2 linked regions of the Astyanax mexicanus genome follow. The protein of the gene in region 2 interacts with the protein of the main gene of each other region in a pairwise test. Links are inferred from orthologs where the notes say so. Each region holds a gene or a part of one and is shown on either strand. Other genes may lie near its edges.

Region 1 (7,779 bases), on a different chromosome or scaffold from region 2:
TGGGTCCGTTGATGATGGATTGGGCCATAGCACTAGAGATTAGTGGTGACAGGTGTCTTCAGGATCACACCAGCTGTGTATACCAGTGATGCACAGTGAGAGTCGCAGGGGAGAAACCCTTTAACTCACAAACAATGACACAGTCATGCTAATTAGTCCCAAGGCTACACTGCTTTTACGGAAGTCACATGCATTTTTAAAATGTTACCCACTGTTTCAAATCTGCCATTTGCAATTCGGTGTTGGCCTTGCAAAAAAATAAGGTACCAGCTTAAAAAAACGTTCTAAATGTCAGTAGACTGTCTCTGATCATTCAGTGGCAGTTTCCAGTGAGATGTTCTAACCTAAATCAAACCAAAAAAGAAAAGTTTGAATAGGGAGTTTGAATGGTATCCATCTGCATCTGAATACTAATTCCCACATATTAGTTTTTAACATATCTATGTTTTCACACACTTAAGATACATTAAGGAAAAGTCTCTACACAGTGAGCACTGGTCTTGGCTCTGGGGGTGTGTGCACTTATATCCTCATGAGCATGTGTGCTTTGGTGCTTCTCCAAAGGGAGGCTACTTTATGCACTGCATTCACCCCTGAGGCTCACAGCCAGAGAATCACAGATACAAAACAGTACAATATTCCAAACAAACAGGCCCACTTAGATATTAGATATTGGGATAATTGTTTACAATTTACAGCACATTTAAAGCCACAAGGGGATTCAGTGTTACGTTTAGGCAGTGTAGCTACAGCAGAGTTGATTATTATACATTAACATTCATTTTACAGTGTTGGCAATTTACAATAATTAAGAAACAGATGTATTACCATTTAGAGTAATCATGTAGGTATTTAAATACAGCAAAAAAATAACAAAAAGACTCCTGACACTAGTATGAATTCTTGCTGGCTTTGACTGGTTTGATATCTAAAGCTCATTAAGCTTCCATTACTAAGTTATAACCTACACAAATATGACATTAATTAGCCTTCTATAAATATGTCTATAGGTAAGGCAAATATTTGAAAGATTTAAAGCCATTACTGTAATGAGACTTTGAGAACCACCCGGCACAGGCAGGGATGCGAGTAGCATAAGGCAAATCCCTGCCCTTGCAAATAAAGGATTTAAGAATTACCAGCCTGTAAGATACACCCTTACCTTCCCAAAGAAGGTCACACTCATAATCAACTGCAAATTACAACATCAGCAAATGACTCTAAAAAAACACAATGCCACATCAGGATACCTCTACAGGCCCTTTCAACAGGTTAAATGAATCCAACCTACCCTTCGTGACGGCTACAGTATGGCGGTAGGCTGTGCAGGTGTGATTATTCTTGTCGGACTTACTGAGCCAATTTTAGGAGCAGCAGGCAACGTTATGTAAACCAAGTAGCCAGCAGAGACACTCTTACAGTGGGGTCATTTCACTAGTTAATGCACTTTGATCCCACAAACATCTAGCAACCTCCTAAAATCTTCCTAAATATGACCTGCTACACAGTCTGGAGCCTGTCAGACATGTCTGCATTTAAATAAACTAGTGAAAAATCAGATTTGAGCAACATTTTAGATTACACTGTGAAGGAAGTGTAGTGTAATAAAGATGCAGACCAAGTAGCCCTAGCTCAAAAAACAAAAGCAATTTAAATACGTGATTTATAGCTGACATTCTGCACGCCTACAGACATATATGGAAATATCCCGCAAAACAGAACAAATTATCAGTTTACTAAAAGCTAAAGATTGACTGTAACACCTCACTACCAGGTTACCACACGTAACACCCCCTGTAACATCAATCAGTAACGTTAGGAAACTGGGCAATTTGTAAACCACAAAAAAAAGACGTCTAGTGTACTTTTATATATATTGCACTTATCAGTTGGTAACGAAAGTTATACATTAGCTAGCTAACCTAACTAGCTGTTAGCTAATTTATACAAACAGTACTACTACTCACCGGTACTACTAGTCTGATAAACTAGTTAGCTAACCTAGTTTAGCCAGCCTAACAAACTAATGTACTCTTATCTGCAAAATAGACCTGGTGCCAGTAAAGCTAGCTAGCCTTACATAGAATATAAGTTAGTGTGCTAGCATGCTGCTGCAAAGACATAAACTTTCGTTTTAAATACAATTACAATAATAATACAAAAAGTAATAAAATATATAATAATAAGCCATAATAAAGAATATAAAGTTTGTTAAAATTATGAGTTAGCTAACTAGCTATAACACACTTTCTTTAACAGATAGCTAGGTTAACTAAGTTAGCTAATGGTTATAGAATTAAAAAAATATTATGTACAGCTATCACCAATATTTAAAATAAATTAGTAGCTGCACACTACAAAATTAAAAAGGCTTAAATTGGCTGTGATAATAGGTTAAGTATTAACACTGGTTATTCGCTGCCGATTAAGAATAAAAATATAAAAACAAATTTTGGCTAGCTATACAGTTAGTTATAGTTAGTTAACTAAGATTGCTAACGCTAGCTAATTATTAGCCAGCTACCTTGCAAACGTTAGTTACTCGGCTCTCTAATCCTGCTAACGGAAAAGCATCGCTATAACCAGCTAGCTTAGGTTCTATGGCTAAAAAACGTTAGATAAGAAAACACGCTTCATTTCTTAAACGAAATGAAACGTTTAGCTAAACAGTGTTAATCTGGTCACTGAATGTTATTCTGGAAGCTGAAGGCTAATCTGGCGCTGTTGCCTCAAGTTTAAAGGATACAGTTTAAAGCCCTTCAGGATCTCCTTCGCCCTGTCTTCATCCGAAGACATCGTTCCGAAAATCGTCCGATTCACTGAATGGAAAAATAAAAAAAATAAAACAGAACAGAAAGCAGCAGTCCACTAGCTAAAATATTCGACTCGCTGTAGCGGGTTAACCTGGTTATTAGGTGAACTGGCTAGCGGAATACCACACTTTACAACACACAGCGCTGCTTTTAATCTGAACAGATTCGCCTCGGCTGCTGCTCCTCCAGCCTACTGTAAATAGATTTTCGGCGGAGATTGATTGACAGCAGAATCGCCCTACTACCGTGCGCGTCTCAGACGAAACTACACAAACGGACCAATCAGGATGAAGAATGCGGCACTTGGGGCGGGGCTTGATTGGTTGACAAGGGACGCGTCACCGATGGCAACTAGAAAGGTCCTTTGGATGCGAGCTACGGCGTCTCGAGTGGATCAAGCGGAGCTGTGTTATCAGTTACACAGTTCGCCTGGGTCTGGAAGTGATGGCTGAAGCAGAATACGACCAAACGTTAAATTTGCGTTAACTTTCCATCGCTAATGCACTGAAACAACGTTAATCTCGATTTTACGACTAAAGATCTCGACTAAATGTTATGGTTTTATATATATGGTTTGTATTAAATTTTAATTACATTACATATGTGTATCTTGTTTGTATTCTGTTCCTATAATCAGTACTGTGGTCTTGCACAATAAAAAGACACATTTAAATAATAATTATTTTAGTATTAATATTATTATTTGTGTAAAGCACACTTCACCTAAAAGTAAATGTAGATACAGAGCTCCAACCATTCAAAACCTTTAAATGAAAGTTGAATCAGTGTCAGAATTTCCGCATTAACTGATGGACATAGGGAAATGTCAAATAAAGGTTGTTTTTTTCCATCATCAACCTTAAAAAAATTAAATGTATAAAAATAACCTTTATTTAATGTTGTATAATATCAGGGTATGCACAAACATAAGACATTTGTGGTCAATGTTAATAAAGTAAACCCTTCTAAAAAAAAAAAAAGCTTAAAAAATACATACCCTGGTTATGCTAGTCAAGGAGATAGTCTACCAGCATAGTCTATGTTTTTTCTCTTGATGACCAGCTGGTTTTAAGCTGGATTTTGTTTATGTTAACAGTCAAAATTTTTGGGATCTTTTGGGGATTTTCTTAAAAGGACCCACTTAAACTTATACAACCTTCTACCTTCATCCCTTCCTTTGTTGGAATGTTGAGCGGTGGAACCATGCTGGAGCTCCCCATCCAATATCTTTAGGATGAGATGGAGTGGAGTTTGTGATCCAGAACTAATCATCACGGTCACCTGACCTAACTGAAATTAAACATGCAAAGACTCAAATATTTATGTAAACACAAAAGTGTGTGCTTATAAATGTGACACTGAACAATCTGTCTGTCACAGTTATTGACTCAGACAATATTTGCTGATGGATCAATGATCTGTCATGACAATGGTAAAAAGGTCACTCCACAAATACAACACAATTTTGTTTAAAAATAGGAACTTCTGAAAATCTACAGCTGTACTGATGTGGGCTGAGTTCTTGTATACATTTATGTCAAATACTGCAGACCTGTAATAATAGATTATGTCCATGGAGTGGTGCTGCATTACAAGAGAAAAAAAATACTATTTAGACATAAATACTTTTTTTTATTTAGTCAATTTGGGCCTGCAGACTACAGGCTACCTCAGGGTCACTGCATTTTTCGTACACGTATTCATTACATATACATTCAAGTACACACATTTGTTTAATATGTATTTGTCCCACCCTGCAGCTGGGCTGATTAGGCCTGGAGTTTGCACAGGTTGGTGATATCCGGCTTAAAACACACCTAATTCAACAAATCCATTGATTAACACATTCTCAAGTTTTCATGATGAACTAAGCTTGCATTTTTGTTCTTGACAGTGTTCAGAGAACATAAAACACAGCAGATTTGCCAGGGATAAATCAACACTGTTGTGTTAAATTAACATTTATCTAGTCAAATTCTAATGCTTACAGTGTTGATTTAACACGGGCAGACAAGCTCCTTTGCATAAAAACTGTGTGTAAACTGAGAACTATAAAGGAACCTGAAAGGTAAAAATGCATGAATAAATAAATGTCTAAAGCAGTGCTGAAGAACACTCTTCACTTTCTTTCATCTGTAGGTTTATGCTGAGTAAATAAATGAGTCCTAAATAGTTTTATTAAATTACTCTAAATTACTCTTATTAAAGGGATTCTGAAAGCTTTTTTTTTTTCATTTCCGTGACATTTAAACTTTATTAAAAGGTTTACAGTTGTCCTTAAAATGACAATTAAATGTATTGATGCTCTAAAGAACTACATGGTTTATTCTATGGTACTTGTCCAAATAACACTTTATACACCTTAACTGTTAAAAAAATAAGTTTTCCTGAGTAAAGAGGAGACAAAATATTCTAATAAATGGAATCAAACATATTTATTCTAAAACAGCTTCTGGTAGGTCTTTCCAGAATTTATTCTTACCATGACAGCTTTTGCTGATTACTTGTGTAACAACGGTGCTGCTAATGACATTGATTCGAGATCTACTGCCAACATGAAGATATCAGAACAGCAAACTTAGTCTTTATCTGCTTATTCACACATCATTAAAATTTAAAATTAAAGAATGCTGGTGAGCTAAAAGAGAACGAGACCTTGATATAATAAAGCCCTTGATACTTTTGAGCATGCTGGGTGCAAAAACACATTCTCAGCAAAAAAAAACATTTTATTAAAACAAATTATTTCTTTTTTGTTTTACAAAATGTATCTCAGTTAAAATAAAAAAAGGCTGTCCTTGTACATCTACATGCGATTCTAAGTTCTGTAGAAAATACCGTTTGGCACCGTGTCTATCAGTGTGTGGTCAGAGCAGCTGTTACAAGAGAGAGACCATTACAAAAAACCTCAAAAAGCAGCCAAACAAGCTTGATGATTTTTTATGATCTCAGGACAGAATCAGTGAAAAGGCAATTTGTCTTAAGAAACAGAAGAAATGAGATTCATTAAAAGCCCTATCAATGATTTTTTCTAAGTGGAAAAAATGCATTTTATTAGATCATATTAGATTAGATTAATGGAAAAAGTGCTGCTTTATTGGCATAAACTGGATAACGTAGACAGTTTTGTTTGAGATTTAAGAACCAGGAACCAGATTTAGGGAGTTCAAGTGAAGAAGAAATACAAAAACAAGTGATCCTATAAGATCATATCACTAGAGACTCCATACCTCCAGTTCTGTGTAATCCTAATATAAAGTACCAGATATTGGGTTAGGCATTGCTAGATTTAGTTTAAAAGAATATTAAGCATAAAAAGTGTAAATAGCATTTTTAGTTAGAGTCAGTTATGTCAGACAGATCTGGGTACATTTCTACAATCTTAAATCAGAAAATTTCTAGTAAAAATACAGTATTTCTGACGGTATAAACTCAAAATATTAAATTCTTTGAATGATAATTGGTGAATGAAGGCTATGGTCATTGGAGCCGCAATCAATACCTTTAGAACAACTGTGTAGTGTCTTTTTTTCATTTATAGTACTTGTATCATGCAATATAGGGTGAGAAATGTAAGTTAATACAGGGGAACTCTTGATTCATCTCTGGTTCATCTCTGTTACATGTAGCAGTAGACTGATTTACCCCTGTGCAAGAATACACTGCAATTCTAACAGATTTATTCCATTATTCCAACTGCTGAAAGTATTCTTAATTATATTGTGTTTTTCGGGGAAGGCATTGCATCTGATTGTAGTCCTTAATATACAGGTTTGTATAGTCATGTCTGGTCTTAATTCTTTAAATGGCTTTGTTTAAAAGTGTTATGATCACTCTAACTTCTGATATCACCCTTAATCAAACAGTCAGTGCAGGAGAATAAATCAGGTGCTAGATAAATTGTTGATGTAAATTGTTGTCATGAACAATAATTGGGCATAATATTTACTTTGGACTGAAGTAGACTATTGGTCCAATTAAGATTGTTCAAAGTGTTAGTTAACATAATAAGCTTAATATTCCTATACAAGTTCAAGTGTCTAATAAATGTCTAAACAAAGTTGAGCCTCTCTCTTCAATTTATTTTTCCCAGTGCCACTGGGTGAGGCTATGCTCTTTCAGGAGGAACGGGGTATAATATATGGTCAACTGGAAGGGCTTTGGTCTAAAGAAACAGAGCTGGAAAGGATCCAGGTTTCCTGCAAAGAATGTCCTACATCCAGGGTTGTGTAAGCATTAGAAACGCACTCCCTGACCTAGAGGTCACATCAGGCATTGTCTGCCTTATCCTTTCACTGGTTACAGTTGTGTCCAAGCCAGAGATCATCCCTGATAACTTCACTATCTTCAGTCCAGTGCAACAACAGCTCTGGTTGGTCAAGTTAAGATGCTTTTGGAAAAGTGGGTGGTGGTCCACAAGGTTGTCTTCATTCCTTGGCCACACTGGGGGTACCATTACACCTTCTGGTTCTTAACATCTTGTCACTGTTGTATGCTCCCCATTAGTCGTTCTTGGACAGCTCTCCCACTCTTTATCACCTGAGTTCTAATCTGTGTTATTTATGTACATTTGTTTTTGGTTCTTGGATTGCTCTTTCAATATTAAAGATTATGTTAAATTTCCTCACAACAGCAAGAGAGGAGGGTTAAAGAGACACTAAACCCTAAATCATATTTTTTCATTAAAAGCTAAAATGTGTTTCTTTGAAGTAATGCAACATACCTGTCCTGCTTAAATGCCTTTATTGTGGTAATTTCTGCCTCTGCAGCACCCTCTCAGATTCAACTGTGATAGGTGTAGATGATGTGTCTGAGTATTTTGGTATGCAGACACATACAATATGCAGATCAGTCAATCAATAATACCGCCCCCCCTGCTGACGTCCAACCATTTGCGCCTCATCAGAGGCACACTGCTGCTGCTGCAGCTCAGCCAATCAGCTTTCCCCATGCCCTGCCTCTAAAC
Region 2 (7,807 bases):
ACAAGGGCTGCACTATATTGGAAAAATGTTATGTTGCAAATGTTCTTTTTTTGATAATATATATATATATATATATATATTGCGATATTAAACAATGCAGGGCCCATGACGTCAACAGCTCCGCCCCCACCCACGTGCTGTCTCGCGCCTGGACCGATTAAGAGCTGAGTCAGTGCCGAGCACTCAAAACCCGAGGAAAACAGCAAAACAACAGTAATCGGCCCTTTAATAAGGCTTTTAATGGCTTTTTAAAAGGTAAATAAGCGTTTTTTGGGATTAACGCACGTGCCTAACCATGTGGATGGAGGCCATGCAGTTACCTTGCGTTTACTCCTGCCCCTCCCTCTTCCACTTCTCAGGCAGCAGCAGCCTGTCACTCACACAGACACAGAGACAGTGCTGTGTATCTACTTCTTGTGTCAAAGAATCAAAGAATCAAAACATTGCAACATGGCGTGTTTGATGTAATTGCATGTCCTGCGAATGTGACTACTGCACATGTGCACATCGCGATGACGATGCTTAAACGGGCAGCCCTAATATGTACATCTATAAAGTGCGGCAGGAATGCATTAATGCAGGGTTTAATTGCAGTCTCCTTCCTCCTGACAAGTAGGCAGTTAGGCAGTAGCGCCACCCCAGAGCTCTGAAGCCATACACATTAACAGAAAGACACATTTTCTCAGAATTTTAGAATTGTGTTGTTATGTAGTGTAATTTTACAGCTCTAGAACTGCTGCTCATCAAGAAAGCTAAGTCCAGCTTCCAAAATTTACGCTGTATTTACAAGAAGTGTTTTAGTTCAGCCAATCAGAACAGAATATCAGTCTTAAAGGCACAGCAGCTCTTTGACAGCCTGTTAAATTCTAAAACTGCTTTGCTTGATGCAACCGATGTGTTTTTTGTAACTTATTAATGTAAACATAGGCATAGAAATGGTCAGGGACAAGGCATAATAATAGACTATGTTTTTCTTTTTAATGAAAACTCTCCATTCAAAATATTATGTAGGCCAAGATTAGGCTTAATCCTTAGGAAAGTGGTCCTGGTCCTAAAGGTTTACACTAGACTATATTCAGTATATTACAACTGGCTACAGCGTAGAAAATAATTGTGTACAGATTATCCCTAAATGCTTTGGCTACACAAATATAAATGTCGTATGTGCGCTTATTGGGAAAAGTACATAAAACAGAAATGCAGGGAATGCATATGATCCAGTTTCTGCTGGATTATTTAATATGAATGAATCACAATAATTATAAAGCACAGCTGGTGTTTTCAAATAGTGTTAAAAACAAGTTACATGGCTTTGAGGTGACAGCAGTGATAATTATAACCAATTGTGTTTTACATTATACCAGTAATGTACATCTACTGTACACACACACATACACACACACACACACACACACACACACACAAACACACACTCAGGAAAGCGTGTTGATGGATTTAAAAAAGTCTATTGTGTTTTTCTGCCCGTGTCAGGGTTTGCCTCATTCTGTTTCCTCAAACGCAATTGTCTGCGCGCTGACCAGAGTAATGCTGTAACACACACATACACACACACGCATTTTTATTTTGCAATACCTCTACAATACTATAATCATAGAATAATTAAAAAAATCATTCAATACAAGACCAATACAGTCATCTCTCCTTCACTTCACTTTTCCATCTTTTTCTCTGCTTTTATGAAACACACACACACACACACACACACACACATTTAGAACTCTCATTAGTTGTGTCTTCACTCCACATTCGCAACAATAGCACATAGTTCCTGTTCCCCTGGCGGACGCCTGCTATTTACACAAGTGTCTCTGGACTGTCTGCTCTGTATATACAGCAGCATGCAAAAGTTTAGGCACCCCTGCTCAGAAATTCTGTTCCTGTAAAGAGTTAAATGAGTAATGGATGTCCTAATTTCCAAAAGGCAAATCATTTCTTTAAAAATGTAGTAATTATATGCTTACAGTAGATTAAGGAAGTCCCGTCAGTAATGCACTGCAAAAGACAAATGCATGAATCAGTTTCTCTGCATCATCTAACTAAAAATAGGAAAATAGGATCTCGCTCCTGCGTTACTTCTTGAATAACACAAAGGACAGTCTCGATGATCTTATTAATATGTGGTATGAATGAAGAGTCACGCCATCTGATGTGACAGATATGTACAGCTGCGTGTCATCAGCATAATGATTAGTAATAATCTGATCCAGTGGCAGCATGTATGAGGAGAACAAGAGTGGGCCAAGGACAGAGCCTTGTGGTACACCACATGGAATATTATTCTCTTCTGAAAAATCTTCAACCAATAGTAATAAAAACTTCCTTCCAGCCAAATATGTGAAAAAAAAAAACATTTTAAACTAGTTCCAGTTTGTTCCAGACTGACTATGTTTTTAAGACTTTTTAAAAGCGCACTACGATTAATTGAATCAAATGCAGCAGTTAAATCAAGAGGACCACATTTTCATAGAATGGACTGCACATGTTCTTCACTGCGGTTAACACTCCTCCGTCAGTGGTGGAAAAAGTCCCACAAGCACTCACTGATGTTAAAATCTGGTAATTGCGTTCCTATGATATCACCTGCATCTTCTCACTCCTCAAACCCCTCCTCTACCAATCAAGCACTGTCCTGGCACTGTTAACATATCAATTTATTTTTTTTATAAAAAAATTCTCCATCAAAAAAAGGGAAAAATTAATATCTTCAAACACTTCTAAATTAGCTGCTGAACATCAGAACATGACATCTGAATATACTCTGTATATAGCTGAAATGACAATAAAAACCACTTTGACTTTGACTTTGACTTTGAAGATGAGAACCAGTCTTATGATCAGCTAATTTTCACAACCACAACACGCTCAGAATAACACATACAAATGTGTGAAGAGGTATTTTATCCTTTTCGAAACTGAGCGCTTGTTTTTGTGCTCAGGCCATGAAGGCACTATATCAGTCAACCTGTTATTTAGAGTTCTCAATGGGTGTTGTCAGCAGAGACATGTGAAATAGAGGTCTGAGCAGAGCTGCTTTTTTCAACTCGCTGCTGCCCGCTCCTGCTTGTTTTAGTCCTGTGACTGACCGCTTCCGCCAAAAAAAATTGCTTGTTTTAATCCTGCTCCCGCCCACACACCTAATATGAATTAAATTAATGAAGTGAAGTGCTTTTATTTTTGTATTTATTTATTTAGGTATTTATTTAAACAGCAATATAGTGCTGGATTGCACTGTCCCATTTCTTACCACAGTCCAAACACATGCCGTCAGGTAAATTGTAGATGCTGAAATTGTGTCTTGAGGCTTTTTTGTTGATGTATTGGCTATTAACTTGACATTTATTAACTTTCCTTGAGTGCCAATCGTGTGTTTGTTAAACTCAGGATCGTTTTAGAATTACATTTCTTTGAGTTTTTTCTCAGTGCTGAATACATTGATCGAGATTTAAGCATCTTACTGATTAGTTGTTTTACCTTTGACCCACTCGTAAGTAATTAGGAACTACATTCAGGCAGGTTCTAGAAATTTAGAAGACTTGCCATTTGAGCATTTACATTAATAAAAAATAGCTTTCATTTTGAAGTGACAAAACATACTTATATATTGCGCTTTGTATTAGCAAGGTTTAAAATATATATATTTTATGCTATTTTTGTCGTGCTGTGGATATTTTACAAAAAAAATGGATGTAAAACATGTCCATATATGTCCATTATTGTCCATATAATATAATAAGCTTTGCGCTAAATAAATGAATTCAAATGAAATCCGTAGTTTACCTTGATTGAAGTGTCTGAGATGATCAGAGATATTAAATTATTAATTTATTAAATATTTATAACAAACATCAGCCTAGTGATATCTATGTGGTATAATATTGAGAAATGTAAATCAGTGATTCAGATTTATGACTGATGGTGTTTTTTTTCCAGGCGGAGCCAACAAAGAAGTGCTAAACAATCGTTTGTAACTTTGGAGACTAAGAAGGCTTTTGGGAAACAGACATAAAATTGTTTTTCTCAAAGTTCTGTTGTTCGTATATCACTAAAATCATTTGCTCTCGGGAAACGCACCCCTGGTCTGTTGGAGATGGAAGGTTTTTGCATGTCAATATTAACTGTTGAGAGTATAGTTTAATTTACTCCATTCTGCCTCTCAACTAGGGGGTTTGGCCGGATGGACCTTGGCTCTCCCTGTTACATATATAGGTCCATCATACTGCCAACACAAAGAAACATGAGGGACCAGGGGCCTAGAAGAAGACAACAGCACCGCTGCCTGGCAGAGGACCAGCATGCTTACAACACAGCAAACTAAATATTTTACATATGTTGTTCAACTAAGCAATGCACAATATAATGGTTTTGTTATCATATTTGTGCATTTTATTACTGTTACTAATTTCTTGTCTGAATTCTTTTTAAAAACTGTTGCTTTGTTGTTCTAAAAACTGCAAACAATGACGCTTGTTTTATTATTATCACTATTATTACATTTTATTATTATTATTATTATCACTATTATTATTTTTATTATTATTATTATTATTATTATTATATTTTATTATTATTATAATTTTATTATTATTATTGTGAAGAAAATTCAGACCTAAATTAACATATATTATATCAACAAATACTACAACTCAAATAATAGGTAGGCGTGGCAAGATTGAAAATGGATATTGAATGTTTTTTATATAATAAAATGTATATATATATATATAACACTCGCTGCGTATAATTTAGAATTTCTACTAATAGTAAACTAGCGTTTATTATAGCTGTTATTCTAGTCGTAGCACGCAGGTTAGATACTTTTATTTTGAAGGCGGATTAAGCCTACGTCGTCTTGGTAACCGGGTTTCTGGTGTAGCTAGATAGCTTTCTAGCTAACGTTATTTATGTATTATTGTACTCAAATGGTTCCTCGTTGGTTTTATAAACGTATAAACACATATAGCTAGCTTCATTAGATCAGTTATGTGTTTATTACTGGGAGCAACCGGCGTCGGAAAGACGCTGCTCCTGAAAAGACTACAGAATATCCTTTTAAAGGCGAACTGCGGTTAGCTAAGCTAACATTGGTTAGCTCGGTTTAAGTTACAGTAAAGGATGCTGGTTATCCCAGCGGTGGTTTATTTAGCTTGGTTGGCTGGTGGAGTGTAAATACAATATCTGTGTTATTTAGCTGCATACAACATTGTTTCTTTCAGTTTTTACCTGGTTAATTAAACCTAACTTTAATCTAGGGTGATTTTCTTTATCTGAGAGTAACTTACAGCTGTGCCAGCGGGACGGGACAGATTTAGGTGAACCACCGGTTACACTGCCAACGGTGAGCTGTAATATATTATTATTGATACTTAACTAGATATAGATAACGTTAAAAAGACAGAGTATGGTTTACTAAGTCAGTGTAAATTGGAAATGGGTTTTTATTTTCCCAATATTTTAAATTTTTGCTTCTTTTAACAAACATTTGATGGTATAATTCAAGTTTACAAGATGAAAATTGAAAATTAAGAAAACTGAAAAAAATCTTTCCTGAAATTCAGATTGTGGGACAGAAATTATAATAGATGAAAACAATAAGTTTTACACATGTTGTTTAAGACATGTAATGATATTCATGTTACACTGACTGTACTATTAAAATTAAATTTACGAATCAGATATCATTTAGTCTATTTCAAATTTAACTGATGTGTTCACTATACGCTGTCACTTTGATAAATACATATATACAGTGGTGTTTAAAGGTTTGTGAGTTTGTGAATAGAATTGACCTTATTTCTGCATAAATCTGACCTTGATTTTTAAATCAAATTCTCCAAAACAAAGAACATGAAAACGTATCTGGATCTGAAATGGACCGGAAAATGATCTGAAATGTTCAGATTTAATTATCAAAGTATCAAAAAGTAAACAAAAAAAAAGAGGACAAACCGCTGAATTTCAGTGTATATGTTGTGCCTGGCATCATTTGTTGTGGTATACTGAAGAATAAATTGGCTTTCATTCATTTTACAGTTTTTTTTATTTTGCCCTTCAATCAGAATGTCAGAAAAAATCTTTTTCTGAATTTCTCATAAATTATGTGCAAAATCTCATTATGTTCATTTTCCATTTAGTGTGGTACATAAGAAACAGGTTGTCATCCATTTTTTGGTTTATTTTTTGCCCCACAATTTGAATTTTAGCAAAAAACTAAAATCTTTACTTAATTTTCTGTATGTGGCACCTGGCGTTAGTGCATTTGTGCTTGTTGTGGTTACACCACCACATTATGACTCTTCATTAAATGTAGATTTTATTTTTTTATCTTACTTGATCTTGTTTATAAGCAAGTATTAATTTAATGTTTTTTTTTTCTGCACAGGTGGGTACAAACCTCACAGACCTGACGCTGAGGAAGAAGAGGGTGACAGTCAGAGAGTTAGGAGGCTGCATGGGCCCCATCTGGCCGAGCTACTTCGTAGACTGCTACTCTGTTATTGTGAGTTTTGAGAAAACATGATATTACTACAGATTATACAGTACTATAATCACACAAGTTACCTTTCCATTATAGAATGAGACATTTTATATTGTACAGCAAAATTAGGATTAATCATTTATTAACTTCGGACAGTAAAAAGCAGTTTTGAGATGCTGTGCAATTATCTTTATTGCTTGCATATTGAAAAACATGTACTAAAATCCTTGCCATTCAAACATTCCTAATGTCATTTGTAGAAATAATATTGTGCTGCAATAATATGGTGATGTCTTCTTCAGTTTATGGTGGACTCTGCCAACATCACACAGATTTCTTCATCCTGTGTCCAGCTGCTGTCCGTGCTCGCCGCAGAGCCACTTCAGACGGCATCTGTGCTCGTGCTGTTTAATAAGAGGTTGGAAGACTTCTGTACCTACCACAGGGTTTATAACGGTTGTGCTTCTGAAGTAAACTACTGTTTGTGTTCTCCTAACATTCTGGATTATCCTGGATTGTTTTTTTATGTCTGTGTTCTTCTAGGGACCTTCCATGCACCATGACTCTAGGGGAAATGAAATCACTTTTCAGGATGGATGACATCATTGCTTCTGCCCCTCAGTCAATCACAACTTTGGAGCTCAGTGCTCGCTCTGGTGAAGGCCTTCAGGATGTGCTTAACTGGCTGGACTCTTTGCAACCCTGCTGAACTGAACTGCATACATGTCTAAAAGGAAATAATGGTAGATACTTTCAGACAGAACACTGCCACCAGGCCGCATGAAGGTCTGGGTGAAGGATGATACATGGGAGACTAAAGCTCACATCATAGTCAGGATTGCTTGATGTGATGTTTATTAGCTTAGCTGATATTCTGATTCCTCTCTACAGAGAAGCTATGATCAGCTGTACTCCATGTTCATGCAGGTTTCAGGTTGTTGAGGGTAATGAGGAGATGGATTTTAGGCATACCATGCAGACTGTATGGCACAAGGTAGGAGCCACAACCAATCAGAAAAGCCTTTTGGTTTGATTCCTTTAGAGAAACATTTTAAACAGTTTTTTTTTAACCCAGGGTGATTACATTATATCTGTATTCCAAAGGCAGTCACACACTGGCATAATAATACCATGCCAAGAAGCAAATATATTCTGTTTCTATGTGTCAATTCAAGATTATTTATTATCTAATAAATTCAGTTTGATGATCAGTGAGTCATCATTCTTGTGAGCAAAATGTGATATCAATGAGCCATACAGAGCCAGTCTACTTGTAATGTTGCTTTAAACATATTGGAATTATTGGCATTC

The links. The genes of interacting proteins can lie anywhere in the genome.
Region 1: the proteins of arl16 (region 2) and pde6d interact in binary tests that used the Homo sapiens proteins (3 or more experiments, as listed by UniProt). The two-hybrid records come from large-scale screens. The link is inferred for Astyanax mexicanus from reciprocal best matches to the Homo sapiens genes ARL16 and PDE6D.

The regions. Positions count from the first base shown.
Region 1 is NC_064412.1:25,061,277-25,069,055, reverse strand, and holds the start of pde6d (retinal rod rhodopsin-sensitive cGMP 3',5'-cyclic phosphodiesterase subunit delta), read right to left. Parts: upstream 3,019-7,779; 5' UTR 2,797-3,018; coding exon 2,747-2,796; intron 1-2,746. UniProt on the Homo sapiens protein: Promotes the release of prenylated target proteins from cellular membranes. Modulates the activity of prenylated or palmitoylated Ras family members by regulating their subcellular location.
Region 2 is NC_064410.1:5,271,015-5,278,821, forward strand, and holds the start of arl16 (ADP-ribosylation factor-like protein 16), read left to right. Parts: upstream 1-4,783; 5' UTR 4,784-5,001; coding exon 5,002-5,062; intron 5,063-5,300; coding exon 5,301-5,356; intron 5,357-6,400; coding exon 6,401-6,517; intron 6,518-6,798; coding exon 6,799-6,914; intron 6,915-7,039; coding exon 7,040-7,205; 3' UTR 7,206-7,807. UniProt on the Homo sapiens protein: May suppress the RNA sensing activity of RIGI in a GTP-dependent.